Linked DNA regions of Oryctolagus cuniculus. The protein of the gene in region 1 interacts with the protein of each later gene in a pairwise test. Links are inferred from orthologs where the notes say so. Each region holds a gene or a part of one and is shown on either strand. Other genes may lie near its edges. The genes, in order: DISC1, CRNKL1, CEP57L1, DPYSL2, MEMO1, GNB1 and ITSN1.

Region 1 (4,299 bases):
CTCCTCCTTTGGTTGACACTAAGCTTAAGGAGACTCTACAGTTGTATGCATTTGTAAAAGTATAATATGAACAATTAGTGAGGTTCCAGACTTGTGTAACTGTAGTTAAATAGTCATTGTATTTTCTTTTGAACTGTGTTTAATAGTTTTACCTCAAAACAAAACAAAATACAGTGCTTTTGTCAGTTAATGATTTTTTTTTTTTTTTTGGACAGGCAGAGTTAGACAGTGAGAGAGACAGACAAAGAGAAAGGTCTTCCTTCCATTGGTTCACCCCCCAAATGGCTGCTATGGCCAGTGCGCTGTGCAGATCCGAAGCCAGGAGCCAGGTGTTCCTCCTGGTCTCCCAAGTGGGCGCAGGGCCCAAGCACTTGGGCCATCCTCCACTGCCTTTCCGGGCCACAGCAGGGAGCTGGCCTGGAAGAGGAGCAACCGGGACAGAACTGGCGCCCCAACCAGGACTAGAACCTGGGGTACCAGCACCGCAGGCGGAGGATTAGCCTAGTGAGCCACTGCGCTGGCCCAGTTGGTGATATTTTTTAAGCTCTTTTTTTATTTTTATTAGACAGGTAGAGTTATAGACAGTGAGAGAGAGAAAGGTCTTCCTTCCATTGGTTCACTCCCCAAATGGCCCCTACAGCCGGCGCACTGCGCCGATCCGAAGCCAGGAGCCAGGTGCTTCCTCCTGATCTCCCATGCAGGTGCAGGAGCCCAAACACTTGGGCCATCCTCCACTGCCTTCCCAGGCCACAGCAGAAAGCTGGAATGGAAGAGGAGCAACCAGGACTAGCCCTTTCTCTCTGTCTCTCTCCTCTCACTGTCTAACTCTGTCAAATAAATAAAATTTTTAAATAAAGAAAAAAAAAAAACCACGCCTTGCCCTTCCTTATCGCACTGTTCTGTAGCATGAATTACATGGGGGATTCTCCTTGGCTCTTTTGAATGAGCCAAAGAGAAGGTGTTAGTAGGCGAGTCAATGGTGTAGATGCTTGGAACTGAACTAGACGCTTGCAACGGACTGTGGCCTGCCCAGTGCTGCCAGAAGAGTCTAAAAGCTGGAATTCTTTTTATTTCTAAACAACCGCTTTCATGCTTATCCTTCGATGTCACCTTCGGCACTTGCCCTGCACTTGGAATAAAATGAGTCTACCTGATGCTAACTCCCGCACTCACATTTTGGTCACTTCCCAAGACTAGGCATCTGGGAAGAACCTTGCTAAGGTCCTATGCTGAAGGCCGCTCAGCCTTTCCTGCCTGCATCTCCCTTGTCCTGCTTCTGTCCAGAAGGGATCCAGAGCGAAGAACAAACTTTCTGGGGTCCCGAGGTACTAGGCACCCACCAAGAGCCTGCCCGCTGCGCCTGTCCCAGCCAAGGGACTGGATGTATGCTTGCCCTGTGTGTGACCCAGTTGCAAAGGAAACCACTGCGCTCTGTAATGAGAAGGAAGGAGCCTCCCTCTTCTCCCTCAGCCCCCTCCCCACTTCCCGTCCAGAGCGCTACTTCCTCCCAATCCGCCTCCCTCGGCCCGGGGACCGGAGCAGGAGGCAGCCAAGGCGGAACTGGAGGAGCCAGCGGCCCGGCACATGTTGCGCCGGGGTCCCCAGGGCGCCCCGGCCGGCGGAGGCGGCGCGGACCGCGGCGCAGGTAGGGGCTCCGCCACAGCAGCCAGAATGGGTCCCGGGAGGTCTGGGCCGGGCCGGAAGTGCGCCTTTCCCCCTCAGTAGGTCTGGGCGAGCCTCTCTTCACAGCTCCAGTTCGGTGCGCCCCTTCAGAGGTGCGGGAAACCGCAACAGGGCGCGTAAGGTGCAGGTTTGGGAGGAGAGGGTCTGGGGCTGTCAGCTCTGTGCCCAGCCCTCCAAGTCCCTCCTGGCCCGCAGGACTCTGCAGAGCAGTCCGCGGCGGACCCATGCTCGCGTCTGACGGGTCCTGGGCGGCGGCGGAAGGCCCCAGGGGCGTGCTTGGAGTTGGGATGGGTCCTGTCCATCCGTACCCCCGCAGGACAGAGCGGCCCTGCACGCCCTCGCCCGGGACCCGCGGGACCTGGAAGGTGGAAGTTGAGAGTGGGGTAAGGAGCTGGTGAGGGCGCGTCCTCCACAGGCCACGGTGCAGTTTCATTGCAGGCTTGGAACTTGGCGACGGCAAAGCCCTCGCCGGAGCTTCGGCGGGACACCACTGCCCAGACCCTGATTACACCGTCAGCTCGCAGTGGTGACACTGAAGTCATGGCGTAGATGTTTGCTTTCCAAGCATGACAGGACTTGTATCTCTCGCTCTTAAAATACATGCAGAAGTATTGGAAACTTTCTGGAGACCGTGAGATTTGGAGTCAGGGTGTGCATTATGTCCTGGGTGCATCCCTTCCCTCAGAAGTCACAGTGGCCACTAATGACGGGGTCTCCCTGCCTCCTTGGGTCTATGGATGTGAAAGCACTTTGCTAAAAGTGTCTCACTGGTTACACAAACGTGAGCTGGGAAACACCAGGGCCATGAAAGCTGGGAGTTGGAGACAGTGTCTTTGCTTCTCAATCCTGGACTTAGCTGTGCCTCAGTTTCCCCACTTTTAAAATGGGGACCATGACAGTACCCCTTTCCCCAGAGGGTTGCTGCGCCGTTTCGGTGTGGTGGTGGATGTGAAGCCCCTAGCTCTACTCCAGAGACAGACTGCAGGATGAAAAGACTGTCGTTGCTAATTTTCCTAAGTAAAACTGAATACTGTGGCGTTTAAAGGAATACTGGTTTGATTTAAGTACGAAGAGTAGGGTGCTGTAAAAGACCCTGGGTTTTCTTGTGCTCAGGCATGACGCATGGAGTCCCTTGAGGTTCAGTTCAGACTCTGCCACAGAACAAGAACCCAGCCCTGGACAGTAGACCTACTTTGTGGGCTTTGTGACCTTGGACCTCAGTTTTTCTTAACTACTTACAAAAAAAAAAAAAAAAAAAACAAAAAAAAACCAGAAAAGGGGAATAGTAATTCCTGCCATTTAGACCAATAGTGCTACCTGAGGTTCAAATAAAGTAAAACATGTAAGACATCGTGTGGAACAGGAGTCACTGTGCACATACAGGACATCATATTACTAGCAGGAATCCTAACATCTGCAACTTTTTACAACTTCCAGATGTGCTGGGAGCTCTACTGTGCATTCTTTTGATGAACTCTTCCCCAAGCCTTTATGGGGCTGGTAATCAGTCCTTGTTTTCCTATGGCAAAGCTGAGGTTCAGGGTCACCTGCTTTTTTCCCAAGCTCACATAGCTGTTCAGTGCAGAGCCAGCAGTGCACCCCTGTGTGGACACCTCTCCCCATTGTCTTTTCAACCTCTGACTGAAAAGATGTTAGTGAATGGAGCCACGGTTCAGAGCAGACCTGTATTAGATCATAGCTAATGATGCACCCTGCATATCATAAAATGGATGGGTAAATTATTAGCCCTGCATAGGTGACTGAAGAAATCGGAGATTTCTTTCATCCCTATTTCTGTAAAATCCGATGCAGGTTATTCTCTTGAAACAATGAAAAACAAAGGCATGGAAAGCTTGAAAGAACGAATGATGATCTTGCAGATCTCAGAAGAAGTGGAATCTGGATTAATACTTTAACACCTAAATGTGTCAGGACCCTAGGATGGCACACGAGGTGACGCTGGGATGAAGGCTGTTGGTGTCAAGGTCACCTCACAGGGCTGCATCCCAGGATGTTTTTGTGGAGACCTCATGTTCAGCCATGATGCTGGCAGAGGGAAATTGAACTTTTTTTTTTTTTTTGACAGGCAGAGTGGACAGTGAGAGAGAGAGACAGAGAGAAAGGCCTTCCTTTGCCGTTGGTTCACCCTCCAATGGCCGCTGCAGCCGGCGCGCTACGGTCAGCGCATTGCGCTGATCCGAAGCCAGGAGCCAGGTGCTTTTTCCTGGTCTCCCATGGGGTGCAGGGCCCAAGCACTTGGGCCATCCTCCACTGCACTCCCTGTCCACAGCAGAGAGCTGGCCTGGAAGAGGGGCAACCGGGACAGAATCCGGCGCCCCAACTGGGACTAGAACCCGGTGTGCTGGCACCGCTAGGTGGAGGATTAGCCTAGTGAGCCGCGGCGCCGGCGGGAAATTGAACTTTAAACAGAAGAGACTGAAGATCAGATCTTTGTGCTGCATTAACAACTCTTAGTTCACTTGTTTCCTAAATTAAGTTTATTACTTTTTTTTGTTTTTCTAAAAGCAACATGTATTCATTACAAGAAGTAGAGAAAACTCCAAACAAGTAAAAACGAACAAACAAACAAACAGTAAAACCACTGAAATCTCACTA
Region 2 (3,500 bases), on another chromosome or scaffold:
CTGGAATCTCCGTTTGCTCACGATGATGTCTTCAATACCGCGCCTGTCACCAAACTTCTTCTCAAAGATGGTGTAGTTCTTAAAGAGCTCTTGGGCCTCTTGTTTTGAAATTCTATCCAGGGCATACTTGTAGATCACTCGTACCCTTTCAAACTAAAAGCAGGCAGGATTAGCTTCTGTAACATAATGTTCTCATTCTCGTCACAAACTGGAAAGAGTAACTGTGGCATAAAATACCTAAAAGTCAGATATAAATAAAGGCTTTCCTCTCTCATTGTTGAAGGTGTTTGTCCAGGGACTGAGACTTGGCTTGGAGTTCCACATTGAATGTAGTCCACTGATGTGGCCAGTCGGATGGCTGCTGCACCTCTCAGCTAAACAGGCCCCAATCTGAGCTGCTCTTCTCTCCACTCACCCATCAAACCAGGCTCTTTCCCACACTTTCCAATCTTAGTAGACAGCACCCACAGTCTCACGTGCTCACATTAAAACCCCAGGGGTCCTCCTTCACTCCTCCCCTCCCACATTTCCACATTTCAATCCTTCAACACACCCAGCCATTACTACCTCTTCAACACAGCTCTTCTCCCCATCTGCCCACCTGTCTCCACGCTTAACTGAACCATTCCCAAAGTCTCCCTACTGGTCTCCCCTACAGACATATTTGTCACCCCCTGCCCCCGAATTTATTCATCATGAATCAGTCAGAGGCTCTGGGCCTAGCAGTTAAGACGCTGCCTGGGACACCCATATCCTGTATCAGTGTGCCAAGGTTCGAGTACCAGCTTCACTCCCATGTCCAGCCTCCTGCTAGTGCACACCCTTGGAGACAGCAGATGACGGCTCCAGTACTTGGGTCCCCACCACCCTTGCAGGAGACCTGCACTCAGTTCCCAGCTCTTGGCTTTGTCCTGGCCCAGCTGAGCTGCAGCTTTGTGAGTGTTTGGGGAGTGAACCAGTAGATGGGAGACCTGTCTAAGCCCATATTTCCAGGAAATAAACAATGATCTAAAAAATGTATAAATCATATCCAATCACTCTCCCACATAAATCCCTTCACTGCTTCCCTCTGGCCTCAGGTTCTAAACCCCCTTGCATGACCCATGCAAGTGTCTTCCTCTTTCAAATCTGTATTACTTGAGCTACTTGGAAGAATTATTTCCCACATACACACACTATGGAAGAAAAGATTGGACTTATTCATGAGGCAATCCGTTTTCATTCTAAATTCTGTTCTCTAAGGGCTTCCAGCTTTGTCTCCCAGGTTTATTACCTTCTAATCACAGGACACCAAACGAGTAACTCTCAGTTTACACTCAGATTTAAAGGCTAAATTGCAAAACAAAATTAAGACAGCTGTAATACAATCTGCAGTCACTCAACTTATGCACATGCAGCTTGGCCACACAGGCATGCTGTTTTCTGTGAGCAACTGTTTATTTTGAGAACATTTTCTCTGATAAGAAAAAGTAGAAATGAACACATAGTGCACAAGATGCGATACTTACTCTAAGTTTTTTTTGCAACATAACTAAGTTAAGCAAACTTACTTCTTTCTGGTTTTCTTCAAATTTGGCAAAGGCAACGTAAAGGTGTTCATCCATATGCTCATCTCCGAAGAACTCAACAGCTCTCTCGTACACTTTCCGTGCGTGTGCAAAATAAGCATGTTTCTCTTCAAAGCGGGCATATTTGATCCAGTTCTTAACATCAGGGTGCACGAGGACGAGTGGAAGAGAATTAAGGAACTACCAGGCAAGGCAACATGACTTCAAAAACAACAGAGTGGCTGGCGTTCGGTCTAGTGTTAGGATGCTGGTTTGGATGCCCACGTCTTATGTCAGAGTGCCTGGGTTCAAGGCCTGTGTCTGGCTCCTGACTGCAGCCTCCTTCTGACGCAGAATCTAGGGGCAGTAGTGATGACTCGAGTAATTGGGTCCACAGACTGAGTTCCCAGCTTCCAGCTTCAGCTTAGCCCAGCCCCAGCTATCACAGACATTTGGGGAGTGAACTGGATGGGAGCTCTCTTTGCCTTTCTCCGTGTCTCTCTGCTTCTCACACAAATAAGTAAATTAATAAACACTCAGGGGTGGTGTTGTGGCATGGTGGGTAAGGCTGTCACCTGCAGTGCCAGCATCCTATATGGGCGCCAGTTTGAGTCCCAGCTGCTCCACTTCTGATCCAGCTCTCTGCTATGGCCTGGAAAAGCAGAGGAAGATGACCCAAGTCCTTGGGCCCCTGCACCTGCGTGGGAGACCTGGAAGAAGATCCTGGCTCCTGATCAGCACAGTTCTGGCCCTTGTGGCCACTTGGGGAGTGGGCCACCAGATGGAAGACCTCTCTCTCTCTCTGCCTCTCTGCAGCTCTGCTTTTCAAATAAATAAAAATAAATTAATAAACACCCAAACAATAATTCAAACTAGAACCGTATGGGTGATGAAACACATATTAAGTTGCGGTAGAATCTCTTCTAGTACTCATTCAATAATCAGCGGTAGGTACAAACAAGAGCTTAGTGACAAACAGAAATCTAAACCCAGGACTCCAGCCATGTCATTTTGGACAACACATTTAACTTGATAAGTTTCATTTTTTTCATCTGTAAATAGGGAAAAATGCCAATCCTACTGGATTATTACCAGCTTTAAATTAGAAAATGTGTTAAACCCTTAGTATAATTTTTGGACAAAAGAATGTAGCCATTAAATGGCAACATTATATATACTCAGTAACATTAATATTAATATTTGAACTATGGGGCCAGTGCTGTGGTGCAGCAGGTTAAAGCCCCAGCCTGCAGGGCCGGCATCCCGTATGGGCAGCAGTTTGAGTCCCGGCTGCTCCTCTTCTGATCCAGCTCTCTGCTATGCCTTGGGAAAGCACTGGAAGATGGCCCAAGTACTTGGGGCCCTGCACCTGCATGGGAGACCTGGAGGAAGCTCTTGGCTCCTGGCTTCAAATCAGCTCAGCTCTGGCCATTTTGGTAATTTGGTGAGTGAACCAGTAGAATGGAAAACTTCTCTCTCTCTCCCTCTCCGGCTCTACCTCTCTTTCTGTAACTCTTTCAAATAAATAAATCTTTAAAAAAAAAAAATTTTGAACTCTGGGGCCAGTGCTGTGGTGCAGCAAGTTCAGCTGCCACATGAGATGTTGGCATCCTATACAAGCACCATTTAGAAGTCAGGTTGCTCCACTTTAAAAAATTTAATTTATTTGAAAGAGTTACAAACAGAGGTAGAGACAGAGAGATCTTCCATCCAGTGGTTCACTCCCTAAAGGGCTGCCAACAGCTGGAGCTGAGCTGATTCAAAGCCAGGAGTTTCCTCTGGGTTTCCCAGGTGGATGCAGGGGCCCACTGCTTTCCCAGGCCATAGCAGGGAGCTGGATTGGAAGTGGAGCAGCTCGGACTTGAACTGATGCCTTTATGGGATGCCAGCACTACAGGTGAGGGCTTTATCTCGCTGTACCACAGTGCCAGCCCCTGGTTGCTCCACTTCTAA
Region 3 (4,242 bases), on another chromosome or scaffold:
AGGTAGCGTCAATTCGTGAACTCACCAAACGACCCACGGGAAGCGACGGCCGAGGGAATGACCAAGAATAAAATGTCCCTGGACCACAGAGACCAACGTACTTAAAGTGCGCTTCCTTACCTGGGCGCTCTTCAGGATAAACTCACTCCTCTCTCTCACGTCTTTAAAGGGACACCTTTTGGAAAGCATCAGTAGCCGAGCGAGCAGCTTATTCAGCCCGTCCACAGAGGCGGCGTCCGAATGCCCGTCGGGTGGACGAGAAGGTGGCCCCTCCAGCGAACGCAGACACTCGGTCTTTCGCAAAACGATCTGCCTAATGTTCTCCAGGGCCGTCTCTCGGACAGCGGGATCTCGGCTGCACAGTCCGTCCCACCTCACTTCATTCTCCCCTTCAGCCATGGCAATCGGGCTTCTGCCTGGACGGTCTTCAGTCCCCCTTCGGCATGCCCCCCAAAGCGCCCCGCAGCCCTTACATGGGGCACGTGCGGCTAAAACCGGGGCGAAACGCAGCCGTCATAACACGACGTCTGCGAGACGCTGGGAACCAGAACCGATCTGCAAGACCGAGCACCCTTTTCACCCTTCTCCTTCACCCACGGGGCGCTCTTCGGGTCGGAGATGGAAAAAACAAAAAAGTTGGGAAGTCGCAGTCCGCCCAGCGCCAGCCTCGCGGCACGGGGAGTCTCGGGGAAGTGCTCTCGGCCTCGCGGGGTCAGCGGATATCCTCACGTCGTCGAGCTGTCAAATCCGCGCTCTGCCCAAAAACGCTGCTGGCAGCGGAACGCGCTCCAGCCATTCGGTTTTTTTTTTTTTTTTTTTTTTTTGTCTGTGCGGCCGCACGGCTCGCCCCGGCGTTCCCACCCCGCCCCTCCTCCGGCGCCTGGTCCCGCCCTCCGCGCGCGCCGCCCAGCGCCTCAGCCGCTCGCTGGACGCCGGCGGCGAAGGTTCGCCGGACCCCGGGCCCGGTGGCCGGCCCGGCCCGAGACTCGGGCGCTCCCGGCAGGGGGGCTCCCGCAGCCCCCGTGCAGAAGGGCAAGGAGAGCGGCCCGGGCCGCGGCCGATTCCGGACGCCCGGGAAGACGCCGCTTCTCCGGCCCCTGTGCCCTCGCCTACCGCCCGCCCAGCCAGAGGGCACGGGGCGGCCTCGGCAGTCCTCGGAGCTGCGGGAGCGGCTGGGCCCCGACCGAGGCGCAAAGCCCGCCCCTTCGTCCAGCCCCATCTGTGGGGTTCGGCCCAGAAGGCGGGAGCAGGGAGGGGAGATGGGGTCCTCACCCCCCAGCCCCTCCCCTTTCTCCGCCCGGCACTAACCGGGAGCCGCCTGCCCCTGCCCCAGCGCCTTCTTCCCCGCCCAGGCAGCGGCGACCCGCCGTGGCAAAGCCATTGGAAAAAGCCCCGCCCTCCGCCAGGCTACCTCTCCAGACCCCAAGTCCGCTGCGCGCGGCCGCCAAACCGCTGCCGGGTGCTACGCATGCGTGACCGCGGGCAGGGCGCATGCGCCTTCCCAACCACTTGGCGCGCGCCGAGGGGCGTTTTCCGTTCCTGAGCGTTTGGAGTCTGTCCTGGAGAAGAGGGAGGAAAAGTAAGGAGCAGGAATGTGCTGAGACTTGCTCACACACGAGTTATACACAAGCAGGGGAGGAGGACACGGACGCGCCCTTGGAAGAATTTAAAAATTTAAGATTAGCCTAAAAATAGCGCCGGCGAGCTCCAGGTTTAAGGAGGCAGGGCACTTTCGCATTGACTTCTGGGAAATGTGGTTCTGATGATGCCGGCGCTGTCTGTGTGCGACAGAAACTACAACCCCCAGAGGCCACTGCGACCTGAATGTGGCAGCCTGTGAACCAACTGGTTAGCCGAGGCAGCGGCTGCCCCAGGGCGTCGGTCTGGTAAGCACTGCGCGCTTTTTCGTCATGTTCCCCTCGATAGGGTTTTCTCCGTCCTCCATTTCCTCTGGAACCTGGGAAACCAAGCCGTCTAAGGTTGCGGTCCTTATCCGGGGACTTTTCCCAGTGACCTGCGAGAGAAGGACTGGTGCAGGTGCCCCGAGTCCGGGGGCGTGGTCAGGCGAGGCTTTGGGGGTCGCGATCCCGAGGGTCTGTGGGAGCGGCCTGATTAAGACCACGACGGAAAGATGCGTTGGAAAGGGGGCCCCGCGCTGCTGTCTGTTTTGCCGGTTCCTGTGGACACGCGCGGGATGGGTTAAAAATCCCTGTGCAATTGCACTGTTTTCTGCCTTTCTCCAGGGGTGTTCTGTGGGCTTATTTGTTTTGTTAAATAAGATCTGGGGTGGTGCCTTGGAGTAAAGCCGCCGCCTGCAGCACCGGCATCCCTTATGGGCGCCTGTTGGAGTCCCCCCGGCTGCCCCACTTCTGATCCAGCTCCCTGCTGAGGTGCCTGGGAAAGCCGCTGAAGGTGGCCCAGCGCTTGGGTCCCTGCACCCACGTGGGAGACCCGGAAGAAGCTCCTGGCTCCTGTCTGGTTGCGGCCATATGGGGAAGTGAACCACTGGATGGGAGATAACTCTCTCTCTCTCTCTCTCTCTCTCTCTCTCTCTGCCTCTCCTTCTCTGTAACTCTTTCAAATAAATCTTTAAAAATTTCAACAGCGCTTTAAAAGCAAGTAGTCAAATGTGCCTTATATAAGACTGAAAGGAAAAGTATCCTCAATATTCCTAAGTGTGAATTCTGGGAAGGCCATGAAGATGATGCATAACCCCACCAAGTTTAGTATCTTTAAAAGAGTCATTCTTTAAAAAAAAAAAAAAAAAGTCATTAAGCTTGAGAAAAGTTGAGGTTTGAAAGGCCATGAGTGGACCAATAATCTGAGTCGATTTTAATTCATCGTATTGCAGAATAGATGTATTTCTAAAATTTAGGCTTCCTAAGCATTGAGTATTTACAACTGAGAAAGGAACAGTCCTATCTAGTTAGAGAACCAGTGGTTAAATATGCACTTGCAATGCAATCTGGTATTGCTAGGATGGCTAGAAGGAGATCATGTAGCCCAGATGTGCAAAGTTAGGGAAATCTTTATTTCAAGGGAGGTAAAGGCCAAAAGAACAAGCCAGAAATGAGAGATAGGGTGCTTTGAGGAAACTGCAGTAAGCCAAATCGTATGTATTTGGGAGATGGGGACAGAACAGCCTTTTGAAGCTGCAGAGAGGTACTGTGAATTGAATTTTTTTAGACAGTTTGAGTAAGTGATCTGCCCTTGAGCCAGTTCAGCTAATTGACCTAATTTGGCTTTACTTTCTAAAGCTACTGGTTTGAATAATAAATTTAAAAGGGAATAACTTCTTAAGACTGATCTTCAAAAGCAAAACCAAAGCCATTTGTCACTCCCCCTCTTCACGGAGGAACGACACTAAACCCTGCCTAGGCTTCATATCCGAGTCACGGCACCATTATGTCGCTCCCCCTCTTCGCAGAGGAACGACACAGGACCCTGCGCTGTTCTTTTGTCTGCTCGGCCCTCCCGGGTTTGCTACCGGGAAGGAGGTGGAAGGGCGGTTCCCCCTGCCACTTTCCCCACTTCCGCGGGGGAGCGGCACACCGCCGGCCAGCTCTCTCGGAGGCTGCTCAGATGTTCCTCAGATGTTCCTCAGATGTTCCTCAGGTGTTCCTTCAGATGTTCCTGGTGCATGTTGTCTCTCTCCTCCTTTATGGTCCTCTTCCACCAATCCCAACTCTGCTACCCACACGCCGAGTATGCTGCTCTCCTCCAATCAGGAGCAGGTCCTGCTGTTTATTGGTTGAACTGGAGGCAGCTGTGTAGAAGCTGTTTCCTCCTCTCCCAGCGCCATATTGTGGGAGAGCAGATGCATAGAATAAGTCTTTTTTTTTTTTTTTTTTTTTTTGACAGGCAGAGTGGACAGTGAGAGAGAGAGACAGAGAGAAAGGTCTTCCTTTGCCGTTGGTTCACCCTCCAATGGCCGCCGCGGCCGGCGCGCTGCGGCCGGCGCACCGCGCTGATCCGATGGCAGGAGCCAGGAGCCAGGTGCTTTTCCTGGTCTCCCATGGGGTGCAGGGCCCAAGCACCTGGGCCATCCTCCACTGCACTCCCTGGCCACAGCAGAGGGCTGGCCTGGAAGAGGGGCAACCGGGACAGAATCCGGCGCCCCGACCGGGACTAGAACCCGGTGTGCCGGCGCCGCTAGGCGGAGGATTAGCCTAGTGAGCCGCGGCGCCGGCCTAGAATAAGTCTTAATTCCAGTAACAGTCTAGTCCGAGTTGCTCCCCACAG
Region 4 (3,500 bases), on another chromosome or scaffold:
CACAGACTCATTTTCAAATATTCTTAATTTTCTTACTGATCATGGTGGTCCCCCCAGCCAGGGCCGCCTTAGTCCCTTGGAAGAAGTCATCAGCAGATGTCATTCCTTGGTCGGGCATCTGGAACCGAGTGTGCACGTCGATTCCTCCCGGGATCACCATCCTGGAATGGGCTTCAATGGTCTTCACCCCTCCTGGCACAATCAGGTTTTCTCCTATTTGCCTAAATAAACAGGGTTGGTGACAGGGTGGTAAGTGCAACGTGGAATCAAACAGGATCAGCCAAAAACTATCTTCCAGACACAGAATAAGTGAGAAACAAAACTCAAACAGGCTTCAGAGGCTTCATTGAAAGCAGTTTAGCTACCAAGAAATGCCTAAGATGAAATGATAACAAAGGCCCCAAAATATTTATATAAAATGTCACTCAACTTTCTGCAACACACACATTCAAGCTGATTATCATATAGTAATGTTCTTCAGATCTGCCTACGCTTTCTAAACATTTATTTTCAATATAGCCTTTTCAACAGAAAATAGGAAGAGTGGAGGGAGACCAAAAGAGCTAAAAAAAAAAAGTCATGAACACTGTGAAATGTGTTGGGGTGGACCTTTGGCACGGCAGTTTAGACCCCGCTTGGGACACCTGCATCCCGTATCAGGGTGCCAGGGTTCAAGTTCTGGATCCACTTCAGATTCCAGCCAGCAGACACCCGGGAAAGCAGTAGCTGATAGCTCAATACATGGGCCACATCCACCCACGTGCGAGACCCAGATTGAGTTCCTGACTCCTGTCTTTGGATACCCAGCTCTTGAGGGCACTGAAGAGTGAACCAGTGGATGGGAGATCTCTGTCTCTCTCTGCTCTTCAAATGAATAAAAAATGAAAGAACAAATAAAAGTGTGTTTGATGTGGAAGCATGCTCCCAGCAACTCAGAGAAACAAAGGCAGAAAAACGAATATTCATTATGTTGGGGCGCATGATTCATGTCCAGTTTCTTAAAAAAAAAAATAGTGTTCATACATCTTTCTACCAATTTTCTAGAAAAGAAAATTAAGGAAGAGGGGGGTGATAAGGATCTAAGACACGTTAGTGACAACTAAAAATAGCATACAGGCCTGCTCCCTTCTAGGCCAATGTCCTGCCAGACCAGACTGTACGCTGGCTGCCTCCTAACCGAGGGGGAAATGGAACATGAAAGTCACAGCACTGGGGAGCTGGCAGCTGAGACTGTCACAAGCAACGCGAATGGAGAAGACATTAAATACCCGTATGGAAATCTTACAACCTACGTAATGTTCATAAATCGGGATGAGCTTCCAGGCAACGGTCATCTCCACTCCAGTTTTCCACTCCTCCGGACTGGCTTGCTGCTAGCCCTTGATGAATGCTGCTTATTTAAAAGATGTCATTTGCTGAATGTTTTTCTTTAAACAGATGTGCTATCTCTCCAGAGCCCTGTGAGCTGTCCCAGTAGGAAGGGCGCAGGGCACTGGTACATACTCAGCTCATTTAACCTCTGAGGCCAAAAACACCCAAATGCAGCAACTGCTGCGTTGTTTCTCCTTTGCAGCATAATACACAGTCAACACAAGGGCATTCCTGCTTGTGCTAGCTGCCTCTTAACGCATGAAACCTAGAGTGCCCCGAGGATTAGGCAGTGATTTGTGTGTGCTACTCAGTAATTAGCTTGGTGTTCTTCAGCCGCTCCAGCGTGGATTTCTGAGTGAGAAGACAGACGTGCTATCTCAATAGAAAAGGCCGTATTCCACATCTGTGCCCCAGGACGGGGCAATCCAAACAACTACATTCTAGGAAAACCTTCAGCATGTACCTGAACATGTACATGAGCCATGTATTTGAGCTGGCAACAAGAAGATATTGTGTCACTTCCACTAAAAATAGCAAATCACACAACACTCATGTATAATGCAATGGATGTGCATTCAATAATGGCTTTGAATTCCCTCAATCTGAGGTTTCCTGAGTTCACATATCCCCATCATCAAAATGGCCTTAAAGAAAATACTAAATTGGTCACTTGTTAAAGACATTTAAGCTTGAGACTCGGGGGGTGAATGGTAGCTAATGCTTATGAATGAATACTGGGACTACAGGCTGCAAACACATCTTTGCACAATGGGCTACACTTACTTGATCAACCCATCTTCCATGTATATGTCTGCATAGAAGGACTGGTCATCGTTAACAATTTTACCTCCTTTGATCAGAAGACGATCACTCTGAAACAAAGAGGGAACAAGGTCACAATGCGTAACTGACCCCTGAGAAACACAGGGCCAAAGATAAGTGAGCCCAGGGTGTATTTCACTATTCAAAAATGAGGTTCAAATGAGCCAGTGTGGGGAGGTTCAGTGACAAAGGTGAGCCGGTGTGTTGTAACCTATTCATCAGCACCTGATGAGTCACACGCTGCCAAGGCTTCCTGTAGATAAATGAACCATCTTTCTATTAGACCCTAAAAAAAAAAACCTCCTATTGAAGAACACTGAAAACATTTCAGATAAAGAAGTCAATGCTTTTTAAGTGGCTTTTGGCTAAATCTCATTTAAAAAAAAAAAATACACCCACACATAGGAAAGTCACATCTCCCTGAGATCTGTGTCCAGGAAAATCGACCAAAAGTCTGTTGTCATGGGATCCACTACACAAACATACTTGGTTCAACCACAGCAAGGTTTCAATTCACTGTGTCCTTCATTCACATTTATCTTTGAGGAAAATCATGGCAAGTGTTGTGGAGTGGGGGTGGGGCAGGGATACCACAAAAATAGACCAGTTCAACCAACCTGTTAAGAAAACAGTAAAGCTTCATGATGAGATATGAGAGAAGGCAAATCCTAACACTACTATAGGTTGCTGGTCCACTTGTGTTTTCATTGGTGATATTTGTGCAAAGCCAAGAATGTACCGACATGGGACACCATGACTCATCGCTATCCCACATGCTGTTGGTAGAACGGAATGCTAAAATCCTGTTCAGTAAATATGCACCTGCGTTATTCCAGACTGGGCTTAAACCTTACAAACTAAGCCATATATTATTCTTTTAACATGCAACATATTTCAAAAATCATTCTGCCAATTAACTCAGAAGTCAACTACAAAATAATACTCAGTAAGAGCTATTTACGTCTAGTAGCTGCCAAGAAACAAATATCATAGAGAATCCTTTTGTAAACATGTATAAGCGCCGGGAAATCAAATACGTTTGCACACAAATGCACAGGCACGTGGGTTTAGAAAGTATTTATTGTTTCTCTAACATACTGAAAGCCATCCATCGATGGTTTTAATTGTGTACACTGTGGGATTCTTCATCCTGATAGAGACCTTAGAAAGTCAAAGGGGAAGAGGCGACAGCAATTCCTGCACCTGTAGGAGGTAAACACGAAAACCTTCACAAAATCCTGTCGGGTATATTACCCCAGCACAGCTTCCAGTGAGGCAGATGGAGCCAGATTCTATTCCCCCAACAC
Region 5 (3,500 bases), on another chromosome or scaffold:
ATACTTTCTGCCAAAGGCAGCACATCAACTAACCAACAGAATTTGTTCTTAAGAAATCCTGAGAGCTCCTCTGGAGTTGAGGAAGGAAAAACAGCCACCTGCATATCCTAAATCTAGGTTTCCTGCCCTCAGCACTAATGACATTTTGGGCCAAGTAAGTCTTTGATGTTGAGGGTAGTCCTGTGCATTGCAGGATGTATAGTTAGCAGTTTCCCTAGACTCTAGTCTAGTTTCCCTAGACATCAGTAGTATTGCCACTTTCCAAATCCCATCCCTGCTGTGAAAATCAAAAGTGTCTTTGAAGTATTTTCATAAACTGCCTAGGAGGTGAATTAATCCTTTTTGAGGATCAGTACCTTACAAAAGCTTTACGTATATCATTACGGACTAAAGTCCTCTTGAACTGATATCTCAACACTAAGAAGCATTCAAAGGGAGAAGAAGGAAGAAGCTACCATAAAGTAGCCAGACAAATGTTGAAATCAATTCAGGCAATCAATGCGTAAAATACATTAAAAAAGGCAAGGCTCCCAATACTGAGGATGTTATTTTGGCCATCCTAGCATTCTATCTTGGAACTGATGGTCTGACGTCCTATGTTTCCTACAATAATCAAAGAAATAAGTGATGACTAAACAGATGTTGGCATCCTTGAACCAATGAACCAAGGAATAAACGGGTCAAAGAGGCGTCTTAAGAGGAACAGAACTCAGAAATATTCTAGGACATTAATAGATAAATGAGAGCAAAATTTATCCAAAGAAAGCTAAAATAAAATCTACTGACAAAGTCATCCAAAAATTTCTCACTTCCTTCTTGATTTATTCACTGTGAAGCGTCCTTACTCTCTCAATTCACAATAATCACAAAAATCACTTAAGAGTCCTTACCCTTATAAAGCATTACCAATGAAGACCACAGTGCTAATAGCCAACGTGTTACAATCTTTGGAGGGTAGCTCTAAACTGATGGCAATTGTGAGCAAAAAATAAGCACCGAAGGAAAAAAAGAAAGAAAGAAAGACTAATTACAAAAAAGGAAAAGCAGAAAAGGACTGGCATAGCACACAGTGCTCTTCTGCATTCTAAAGAAGAGCATTTGTTTCATCCACCAAAACTACCTTCAGAGGACCTACCACACATACCTACCTGAAAATGGGGTTAAAAGGTCTTAACTCCCACTAAGAACAGTTCTAAGCAAGGATACCCTCACAGTGTGAATCCAATTATACCAGTCGCCTTTGGAAATGTATCCATAATCCACTATTATAATCTGATCCTTTTTAATGATCAAAAGACTTTTTCATTCACTTCTAAACACTGCTGCTAAAAGTAAACTTTCCAAGGAAAGTGATAAAGACTGACAATCAGCGTTTAGAATGAAAAGATACCTTAAAGCACAAGTATATAATCTACCATGATACATTAAAGTCTAGAACTTACCCCAATGGCAGAAATCAGAAGAAACCACAAAGAGATTACTAGGATCCGCTAGATATTTACTGAAGAGTTTTCCGAATTCCTGTTCTTTTGACTCACTCAGAGCTCCAACCAGTACAGGAATAATGGTAAACTCATCCTTATGGCTTAAAGAAAACAGAAAAAAAAAAAAAAAAAAAAAGGCAAAACAGTCATTCTGGATGTTTAAGAATAGAAACAGCTTTGCAAAAATCTTAGCACTAGAAAGTGGAATATTTATTAATAGTGGTAAGAATAACATATATTACTGTTGAATTTTTTTAAAAAACTATAAATTAAATGTTTAAAGAACACAACTTTAAAATATGAGATGTACAGAATACTAAAAATACTGAAGAAAATTACAGAAATGTACACTATTTCTTTAGATAAAAAAAAGTTATGTGACTATCAAGTATAATAGTACCTTCAAAAATAAAAAGTCCATCAGACCATCACCAATTCAAGTCTCGTCAACTATCCACCAAACGCTACCATCATCTGCCCAATCCTTCCAGGATCTTAAAAGCATTAAAGTCTTCCTCATCTATTTTAATCCTTTCATCATAAATGCCAACATTTCTGGCATTTGTTCTGTAAGCCTGCCAAATGAAACCCACAAAACTTTACCTTTGCTTCAATAAGACTGACCAACTACACTTGTACACTTAGCCTAAGGATCAAGATATAACATAGGCTGAAGATATAACTCAAATGTCATTGAAATCTAGGATAGACAAAGAATTCAGGAAGTATTAATTTCTAGCAGCAAGGAAAAGACACCCTGGCCACCCACAATGTTTATAGCATAACCACAAGTCCTTTTTCACTCTAAATTGATAGATTTATGGAACAGGAACAAAGTGATTTAATAAAGAATAACTATGACATGTTATAGATACAGCCATATATCCAAAATCTTTTTCTTAAATTTTTATTTATGTGATACTAAACTTACATACCAAGGTACTTCAAAAACTTCGTGGAAATGGAATTAAAAGACAAGTTTATTTTGGTACAAAAAATTTTGAAATCTGTGCAATATATAGGGTCTTCAAAATGTTCAGGGAAAATGTGTAAGATAAAAAAATTACTCATGGATTTCAATTCCTTGGCACCAACATAAACTTATCTTTTAATACTATTTTTGCACAAACTTTTTTAGTACCCTCATATATTCAATATTATTAATAATCTAATGTTCCCAGATTTGCAATTTTAGAACATAATCATCTTTATCTTTTTCTGAACAGGACTTTAAAAACAAACAAAAAAAAAACCACCATTATAATAAATGCTTTTTAACATTATAATCTGGCACTTAACTAATGTAGGGCAAAGAGAATTCATAAAAGGGTTTTTTAAAATACTAAGTTTAAGTAATCCCAAAATAAATGTTAGCCCAGCTGCATAAAGCTAAAGTCAGGGCACCCAAGCGCCGCCCCCAAAAAAACCCCCTTACCCTTGTCAATTGCGAAATAAACAGATCATACAGATCTCCAGTCCCTCTGCAATGCAGGGGCTTCTTGGGCAGAATCTGCATCTATGGAGTAAGAAAAAAAAAGGAAGCTGGCAGAGGAAGCTGCCATGGGGATATCTTTTCTTCTGACTCTTACCAGTTTGCTAAAACTACCTAAATAAACAGGGGCTCCCGATTAACTGTGAGTATCAATGGAAAGAAAAGAATTTCAGCCCTTAGTAAAAATGCAGGAAGATTGTTTTGAATTAGTCTAACCTCAAGTACTACTATAAAAATAAACATTTATATCATCAAGATTCTACAAGTAATTATGATATGATAGAGAAACAATTATATGGAGTACAAAGAACAAAGAGAAGCCAGAAGAAACAGGTTAAAATATCATCCTCATACTAATGCTAACAGATGGTTAAGATCCTAACCTGAGAACTGATTTCTTTATCTGTAAAATGATCCTAATTACAGTATTTATGAAGGGGATCTTCAAAAAGTTCACCAAAAATATCATGAAACGATTATGGATGGATGGATTTCAAAAATTTTTGGAACAAAATAAATTTATC
Region 6 (4,122 bases), on another chromosome or scaffold:
AGCCCTGCCGGTAGCCGGAGGTGCCAGGGCTGCACCCCTCGCGGCTGGTCCAGCCTCGTGGCCCTGGCTGTAATGGGATGGCCCAGCCATGGGCCAGAGGAGCCCTGGCACCAGGCTGGCCCACGGTGTGGAGTGCCCAGTGCCCTGGATGGCTGGGCTGGAGGTCCCGGGTTCCCTCAGCCTCCCGGCGTCCACGTACACAGCCCCTGCCCGCTCTGGCCTGCGCGCTGCACCCTCCGCCTCCCTGCCGACGTTCCTGTGTCCTGGACCTCGGGTGGGCACTGAGGCCGGGACCCACCTCCAATGCCCAGATCCACCCCTCTGCGGCTCCACTGCCCCGTGGCCCTGGGGCTGCCCAGCACGCCAGCCCTTCCCTGAGGCCCATATCTGTGCCCACCACTCACACTCCACTGGCCAGTGAAGCTGCCCCACCAAGGGCCCACTGTATGGTGTCCCTGTGCTGGGCACAGCCGAGCATCACCCCACATCTTCCACACCTGCTGTGGCTTTCCCGGGGATGCCTGGTGGGGCCGGGGAGCGGTGGGCGAGGCCGGCCTCGCACTGTGGCAGGGGCAAGGGTCGGTCAGGGTCTCAGGCGGCCAGGGCCAGAGGACAACATGTCTGGGGCGGTGACCCCACCGGAGCCAGCAGCTGGAGTCACAGGGCGGGGGGGGGGCAGGAGAACACGCCCACACTGGTGCACACAGTCAGGAGCCTTCCTGTGGGGGTCAGCAGGGCGGGGGGAGGGTCCTCCGCACATGGGCCCCGCGGCGTGGGGTGGGCCTTGGCGAGATCCTGCAGGTTCCCCGTGCTCCGTGGCACACCCAGGTCCGCGCACCCCCCCTCTGCCTGGCAGCCGCCTCACGCGGGGCCCACGCGGTGTGGAGGGTCCAGGCCGCGGCTCCAGCGAGCCCAGCTGCACGGGCGCACGCCCGGGGAAAGGGGCTTCGGGTTGGACTTGGGACCGCGGCCAGACCAGCTGGACGGGGGGGGGGAGCGAGTCCACGGCCCCCGAGGCTCCAGCGGACGCATCGCGACCCCCGCCCTCCCCACCCGGCGCCCGCGCCTCGGCTGTCGGGCCTCGGCACGCACGTGGTCGCTCCTCGCGGGAGGCCACTCGGGGGCACCGGGCTCCAGAGCCCTCCGGCGCCGTCTCCCGCAATGCGCCGGCCCTCGGCCCGTGCGCGGCGCAGAACCGGCTCTCCGGGCGCCGGCCGGCGCGAGCAGGGGAGCCAGGGCCTAGGTCCGGCCGCAGCCGGGGCCGCGGGGCTCCTTTAAGAGCCCCGCGCACGCGCGCGTCGGCTCGGGGAGCGCGCGTGCGTGCGCGCGCCCGGCGGCCGTGCGCGGTGACGCGGCGCGTGGGGTTTCCCGAGCTGCGGGCAGGGGCGCCGCGCCCATCCCGATGGCTGGAGGCGTCTGAGGGGCGGACGGCGGCGGGCGCGGGCGGGAGCGGAGCGGGAGCGGCCGGAGCGAGCAGCCGCCGCGGACCCACAGCCTCGCCGCGCACCTGCCCAGCGCCCGCAGCGCGGCCCGAGCGCCAGCCTCGAGCGGCCCCGGCGGCGGCGTGGGCGTCAGGCCGGGCGAGGGCGCCGAGGTGAGCGCGGCCGCCGCGGCCCAGCCCCGAGCCCCCCGGCCCGGTCCCCGGTGCCCCGGCGTCCCCGCGGGCCCCTTCCCCTGCCCGCCGGCGCCCGCCCCGCCCCCACCGCCGGCCGGGCCGCGTCTTCCTGCCCCGCCCGGGTGGGGCTGCGGGGCCCCGGGAGGCGGCGGGGGTGCGGGCGGGGGTCCGAGCCCGCCCCGAGGCCAGGGCGCGCCCGGGCCAGCGCGGGTCGGGGGGCGGCCCCCGCCCGGCGGCTCGGACCGCGGCCGCGAGAACAAAGGCTGGCGCGCCCCGGGCCGCGGGAGCCCCGCCGCGCGGAGGGGCGGCCGCGGCGGGCGGCCCCGGGCTCGGCGGTCGCGCCGCCCCGGCCCGGAGCTCGGGGGCCAGCGCCGCGCGGGCGGGCGAGACCCCGCGGCGACCCCGGCCCTCGCGCGGCGTGGGCGCCGCGTCCGGGCCCCACGGCCAAGATGGCGACCCCGCGGCGCGGCCATTGTCGCCGGCCCCGCGGGCTGCGGGCCCCCCGCGGCCCTGGGCGTCCCGCGTGGGGGCGCGTGCTCCGGGGGCCGCGCTCGTCCTGGGGGCCGCGCTCGTCCTGGGGGCGCCGTGGGGCGCTGCGGCGCGGGGCGCCGGCCGCGGGAGGAGCCCTCCGGGGCGCGCCGGGTGGGCGCGGGGTGGGCTGCTGCGTGTGTCCGTCGGTGCGACCGTGCTGTCACCGTCGCTGCCCGGGGGAGACAGCTGGGCTTTTGTCACGGCCAGCTCGCCGGTGCGGGGATGGCAGGCGGCTGCGGGCAGCGCGTTGGGTCTCCGGGGCACGCGTGGCGTGTGCGTGGCGTGCCGCTCCGGTGGAGCTGCAGGCTTTTTGGAGGGAAGGAGCGCCGTCTGGACGTGAGGATGCGGGCGCTTCCGGGGGTGCGCGGCAGCCAGACGGCGAGGGAGCAGTTCCCTTTCCGCCGGCCGGCGACACGCGGTGCGCGGCGGGGCTGGGCGGGAGCCCGAGGGCCGCAGCTGCAGTGCAGGTGCCCGGCCGGGGCCGGCGAGGGCCCCGAGGATGCTGCGGGGTTTTCTTGCGTGGAAATCCGCGCCGGGGGCGCCTGAGGAGGTGGCCCCGCGCCCACCCTGCTGCCTGGCACGCGAGGGGTCGGTTTCGTGTTCACTCCGGAGCAGCGAGCGGAGAGCGCTCCGCCTGCCCGGTGCCGGAGGCGGGTTTGCGGGCAGGGGCCGCGCCCTGAACTTTTCTCTTGGCTGCGCCGGGAAAGTGTGGCCCCCAGACGGCCGGCGGGGAGGGTGGGGGTCTCGGCCCCGCGGGCAGCAGTGGGCTCTGGCTCATCCTGCTCTGAGGAGGAACACTGGTCTCATTTCGGAAGTGCAGTGTTGGCATCTGCTGTAGCTTCTTCATTGGATTGTTTTTCTCCGCCCGAGAGATTTGGCTCATGTCAGTCTCCAAATTGGATTAAATTCTTGCTGCCTGCGGCTTTGGCTTCAGCGTTAGTGGATTGGTAATAGATAGGCTCAATTTTATTATCTGGGCTTGACCATATGGCAAGCAATATGATTTTGAAACCCCTGTTTAGTGCAAGTCTCGTAAGACGTGGACAGGGTTCTTTAGATTATTTTTAAACACTGTTTTGAATTCTGGTTTCAGGTTTGTGTTTGCTGATGGAAATGAGTGGTGGGATTACGAAGCGGTTTCACATGAAATGGGGGGATGAGAACAGATCCAGGGGCTTGAGCCCCAGCGGCTGTTCCACTTCTGAGCCAGTTCCCCGCAGGTGCGCCTGGGAGGGCAGCTGAGGGAGGCCCGGGTGCCTGGGCCCCGGCACCCACGGGAGAGGCCCTGACCGAGCTCCAGGCTCTGGCTTCAGCCTGGCCCAGCCCTGGCCGGTTCGGCCATCTGGGGAGTGAACCGGCGGGTGAGTGGGTGGGAGATCTTTCTGTATCTGCCTCTCTTTGTGTAACTCTGCCTTTCAGGTAAATAAATAAATCTGTAATAAAAGCGAATGTGTGTTGAGACAGGGAAATGATTTACATGGCTGAGACTTCACACTGAAGGAGTGTGTATACGTACGGGAGCGCAGGGCCCTGTGGCTGGGCTGCGGGGGACGGGGCGCCTGTGCCCCACAGCTGTGAGCTCTGTTTCAGACCCCGCACCTGGGAAGTGCGGCGGCTCCGGGCCGCGAGCCGTGCGCGGCCAGGGGAGGCGAGGAGCCGCCTCAGCTCCGTCCTGTGTCCTTGTGCAGGCGCTGCCTTCCGTGGACCCGGGCTGCTTGCTCGCTGCTAGTGAGACTGAGTGAACGTATTCCCTTATTAGCTTAAATCGGAATTCTGAGAAGGAGCCTTTCCGAAGAGCTTAATTTAAAAGACGAGACTTAACTAAAATGATTCTTAGAATTACCCGAGAATTCAGCCTGTTGTGCCACTGATGAGAGATGATTATGATTTAATAATCACTGCGAACGTAATGCGTTTTATCAAGGGGCAGGTTAATTCTGTATCCTGTAACCTACTAGAATTGGAATGCTGAAGGC
Region 7 (3,500 bases), on another chromosome or scaffold:
GATGGGCATATCCTGCTTGGCTGAACTGATTAATTTCACTCCTTTATCTTTGCAGGGTATTTCAGAGCTCCCCGGTTTGTTTTCCAGTGATCAATGGCCTGGCCAAGGGAATGAACGTGATTTTCCATGCACACGCTTGGGTTTTCTGCTTTAAAGCCCCTCCTCACTGCTTCTGCCTGAAATGCTAGCCCTCTGCATTTTCCAGTACGACCCTTACCACTGGGCAGGGCTGCCCTGATCAGCTCAGGAAGGGTCGACTCCCCCTTCTGAACGCTGGTCCTTCCCAGCGCATTTCAGACTCCCGGACCCCTTGTGATAAAGCCATCCCAGAAGCACAGAGCAGAGCTGACTTCTGAACGGCAGCACCAACAAGCACCTGCTGGCTGCAGGGCACCGACTGCCCTTACCTGGCCTAGCACAGGAGAAGGGGAGGAGCCGGTGGCTGTGGCTGGAGTAAAGGCCGATCTCTGCCTTAACTGGCCGGCGCTGGGGACAGTGAGCGAAGGCTGGGCTGCCCACGCATCCCAGTTATCCGTTTCTGGTTTTTCATTCGTGCTGCTGGGCCACCTGGAAGGAAAAGTACACCACCATCAATGGTAACGCACTTCCGAAAGCTTTCCACCCAGAGTTCAGTGCTCAGTGAGCCCGTGTAAACACAAATCCAGGATTTCCTGTTTATTTATTTAAAAGCAGAGAGACAGACACAGAAAGTCAGAGACGTAGCCCCTGGTTTACTCTCCAAACGTTCACGACAGCTGGAACTGGGCCAGTCCAAAGCCAGAAGCTCGGAACTCAATCAGGATCTCCCCCATGGGTGACAGGGACGCATCACCTGCCACCTCCCAGGGTGTGCATGAGCAGGAAGCTGGAGGGGAAGAGAGCTTGGGCTTGAATGGAAGTTTTCTCATGGGATGTGGGCAACCCAAGCAGAGTCTGACACGCTGAGCTGAGTGCCTGCCCCATTTCTGCAGCTCTCTACAGTTAAAGAACAAGGAAGAGAGGAAAGAGCCCTGGGCTTAGGATTCAGTCTGAGCTTCGACATTAGCAAAGGCCATTTAGCAAACTAAAGCAGTCTCTCTGACTCCTGGCTTCCTCATGGGTAAAACAGGAACGATACTCTGCCCCTTTTTTGTTTCGCTGTGCGGGACCCTCCTTACATGATCATTACCGTCAGCAGTGACAACTGAGGAATGAAGAAGTTAGGAAAACAGCACCACAGCCAAGGCTTCCCAGCACCTCTTCTTTCTCCGTCCACCCTAGGGCAGACACCTGGATGTCTGGTCATTGGCAGGGGCATCCTTACAGCAACCAGTTGTCTTGGATCTTAGGGAGATAGTTCTAATTTTGTGATTTTGTGATATTACAATTTTAGACAAACGCATCTGTGCGAGTGCAGATCTAAACGCAATTTTTGTGTTTACATCTTTGTAAGACACGTAAACACAACTGGAAAAAAAATCAAAACAACTGCTCTGTTAGAGCACACACTCTGATTTTTGGTTTGGAAAATAAAATGTCCATAATTATAGCAGGAGAACTGCACACTACACATTTATTGAGGAAGAATGTCCTACTAATTTAATCCACAGCAAAAACAAATCCTGGAAAACATGGTATTACTCTTCTATTTCAGGCTAAGCTTCAGGTTAGAAAGTTATAACTTCTCAATCGAGATCAAAAGAGGAAGGGACAGTTTTGACTTGGAAGTCCTGCTAATGGGAGGCGACTGTTTTTTAAAAGCAAACTTTATATAGCGAGGATCTTTATGGCTTTCAACCTCTGATATGAAACTCTAAGTATGAAAAACTGGCTATCCTCAAATCCTCTCCTCCACTTCCTCCTGCCCCTGCTAGTCATTCTCCTTTCTTCCCTCTATTTGTCCCACCTGACCCTTCTCCTGCAATACATTTTGATTCCTTAACTTCAACTGGTTTCTTCTGAAAGATGATTAGATTTGAAGAGAAATCCTCCCCCACCCCCAAGCACTTCTCACTCAAATCACTCTTATTTGCATACTGGTTTCAACTAGTTTCAGGCAACTACACATCTAGGTCATGGCCCTGTAACTAGAGGTCTGGACAGCAGGCTCCTCTGTCATTTCAAACCTCTACTTCTTTGCTGTTTTGCTAAATAACAGCGGTCAAGGACACGCACCTCGTCACTCCACTGTACACTTGCACAAGACTAATGAAAATCGAAAGCCTGAGAGGAAACAGCTATCTTATTCAAAACCACATGACTGAATGCAATTTCTGTTTCTGCCCAGCAAGAGAGTCCTATTTAAATTCATGCAGGAAATGACTTGGAATATTTGCTGACAGACATGGATGTCAAAACAGATGACAGTGTTCCCTCGGTATCCGTGGGAGATTGGTTCCAGGACCCCTGTGGACGCCGAAATCTGCAGGCGCTCAAGTAGTATTTATACAGAACCTACACACATTCTTCCGTATGCTTCAAATCAGCTCTAGATTATTTATAATGCCTAAGGAAATGTAAATGCTATGGTAATATTGCTATACTGTGTTGTTTAGGGAGTAATGATGAGATAAAAGTCGGTATGTGTTCAGTGCTAACAAAATGCTTTTTCCTGACCATTTTGGCTCAGCAGTTGGTTGAATCCACAGATGAGGAGGGCCAACTGTGGTAGGAAACTGTATGTCTCCATTTCATCCAGAAAAATGAAAGAGATACACAGATTACAGAATGAAACAAGATAACAGAGTATATTTTGTGCCAGGGTTAAACCATAGTTGGGCAATGATTCCATTAGATCCAGTTCAGAGAATGTAATACACAATCTTCCTGGGAGACAATGAGAGAGAGGGTAATAGGAACAAGCCAGCTTCCTTAACACGGAGAGACAACCACACCATAAAGACACAGAGAGAGGAAAAATGATTCCTGAATTGATATTTAAAAAGCATCAGAAACAGGATGTCACACATACGTGGAGCTGAAGTCGGCCCAGTTGTTGGGGGTGGTGGAGGGCTCGGAAGAGCTCACCACTGAAGGGGCAGGCGTCTCACGCAGAGCCAGTTTTGGGGCAGGGGCAGATGTGGCATCAGTCACTGGTTTGGCTGGAGTGGGAACCTCGTTTTCTGGTATTTTCTCTGCATAGTTTGCAGGGAACCATCCTGTTTTTCCTTTTAATTCTCCTCCAAGCCATCCCGGTTCTCCAGTTTGGCTTTCATCCACCTGTGGGAAAGACAAGTCACAACATCTAAGTGGAACTAAATCCACCCCGGAACACAGCAAACAGCACCCACCATAACAAAGCCCCAAGCCTCCTCCCTGTTTTGACTGACACACAGCACAGAAATGTTTCCATCCTCATCTAAATGTCTGGAAAAATGCTCTGTAAACATTAATCGTGGGAAAACAGCAAGCACAACAATTCAAGTTCTAATTCTTGGTACTTTTTTTTGACAATCAAGACAAAGTGCCAGAAGTACCTGGACAGACAGTCTAAGTTTTCAGAGTTATTTTGAATTGGACAG

What was found.
Region 2: the proteins of DISC1 (region 1) and CRNKL1 interact in a two-hybrid assay, tested with the Homo sapiens proteins (2 studies listed by IntAct). The link is inferred for Oryctolagus cuniculus from reciprocal best matches to the Homo sapiens genes DISC1 and CRNKL1.
Region 3: the proteins of DISC1 (region 1) and CEP57L1 interact in a two-hybrid assay, tested with the Homo sapiens proteins (2 studies listed by BioGRID and IntAct). The link is inferred for Oryctolagus cuniculus from reciprocal best matches to the Homo sapiens genes DISC1 and CEP57L1.
Region 4: the proteins of DISC1 (region 1) and DPYSL2 interact in a two-hybrid assay, tested with the Homo sapiens proteins (2 studies listed by BioGRID and IntAct). The link is inferred for Oryctolagus cuniculus from reciprocal best matches to the Homo sapiens genes DISC1 and DPYSL2.
Region 5: the proteins of DISC1 (region 1) and MEMO1 interact in a two-hybrid assay, tested with the Homo sapiens proteins (2 studies listed by BioGRID and IntAct). The link is inferred for Oryctolagus cuniculus from reciprocal best matches to the Homo sapiens genes DISC1 and MEMO1.
Region 6: the proteins of DISC1 (region 1) and GNB1 interact in a two-hybrid assay, tested with the Homo sapiens proteins (2 studies listed by BioGRID and IntAct). The link is inferred for Oryctolagus cuniculus from reciprocal best matches to the Homo sapiens genes DISC1 and GNB1.
Region 7: the proteins of DISC1 (region 1) and ITSN1 interact in binary tests that used the Homo sapiens proteins (3 or more experiments, as listed by UniProt). The link is inferred for Oryctolagus cuniculus from reciprocal best matches to the Homo sapiens genes DISC1 and ITSN1.

What each region holds. Positions count from the first base shown.
Region 1 is NC_091444.1:51,179,735-51,184,033, forward strand, and holds the start of DISC1 (disrupted in schizophrenia 1 protein), read left to right. Parts: upstream 1-1,499; 5' UTR 1,500-1,584; coding exon 1,585-1,645; intron 1,646-4,299. UniProt on the Homo sapiens protein: Involved in the regulation of multiple aspects of embryonic and adult neurogenesis. Required for neural progenitor proliferation in the ventrical/subventrical zone during embryonic brain development and in the adult dentate gyrus of the hippocampus.
Region 2 is NC_091442.1:44,663,046-44,666,545, forward strand, and holds part of CRNKL1 (crooked neck-like protein 1), read right to left. Parts: intron 1,730-3,500; coding exon 1,551-1,729; intron 154-1,550; coding exon 1-153. UniProt on the Homo sapiens protein: Involved in pre-mRNA splicing process. As a component of the minor spliceosome, involved in the splicing of U12-type introns in pre-mRNAs.
Region 3 is NC_091436.1:62,308,330-62,312,571, reverse strand, and holds the start of CEP57L1 (centrosomal protein CEP57L1), read left to right. Parts: upstream 1-1,442; 5' UTR 1,443-1,579; exon of another isoform or gene 1,580-1,886; intron 1,887-4,242. Other genes in the region: SESN1 (sestrin-1), read right to left, coding at 121-399. UniProt on the Homo sapiens protein: Centrosomal protein which may be required for microtubule attachment to centrosomes.
Region 4 is NC_091433.1:47,650,439-47,653,938, forward strand, and holds part of DPYSL2 (dihydropyrimidinase-related protein 2), read right to left. Parts: intron 3,397-3,500; exon of another isoform or gene 3,256-3,396; intron 2,244-3,255; coding exon 2,155-2,243; intron 222-2,154; coding exon 37-221; intron 1-36.
Region 5 is NC_091433.1:170,928,575-170,932,074, reverse strand, and holds part of MEMO1 (protein MEMO1), read right to left. Parts: intron 1,586-3,500; coding exon 1,443-1,585; intron 1-1,442. UniProt on the Homo sapiens protein: May control cell migration by relaying extracellular chemotactic signals to the microtubule cytoskeleton. Mediator of ERBB2 signaling.
Region 6 is NC_091438.1:163,893,230-163,897,351, forward strand, and holds the start of GNB1 (guanine nucleotide-binding protein G(I)/G(S)/G(T) subunit beta-1), read left to right. Parts: upstream 1-1,322; 5' UTR 1,323-1,594; intron 1,595-4,122. UniProt on the Homo sapiens protein: Guanine nucleotide-binding proteins (G proteins) are involved as a modulator or transducer in various transmembrane signaling systems.
Region 7 is NC_091435.1:11,216,616-11,220,115, forward strand, and holds part of ITSN1 (intersectin-1), read right to left. Parts: intron 3,199-3,500; coding exon 2,951-3,198; intron 568-2,950; coding exon 408-567; intron 1-407. UniProt on the Homo sapiens protein: Adapter protein that provides a link between the endocytic membrane traffic and the actin assembly machinery. Acts as a guanine nucleotide exchange factor (GEF) for CDC42, and thereby stimulates actin nucleation mediated by WASL and the ARP2/3 complex.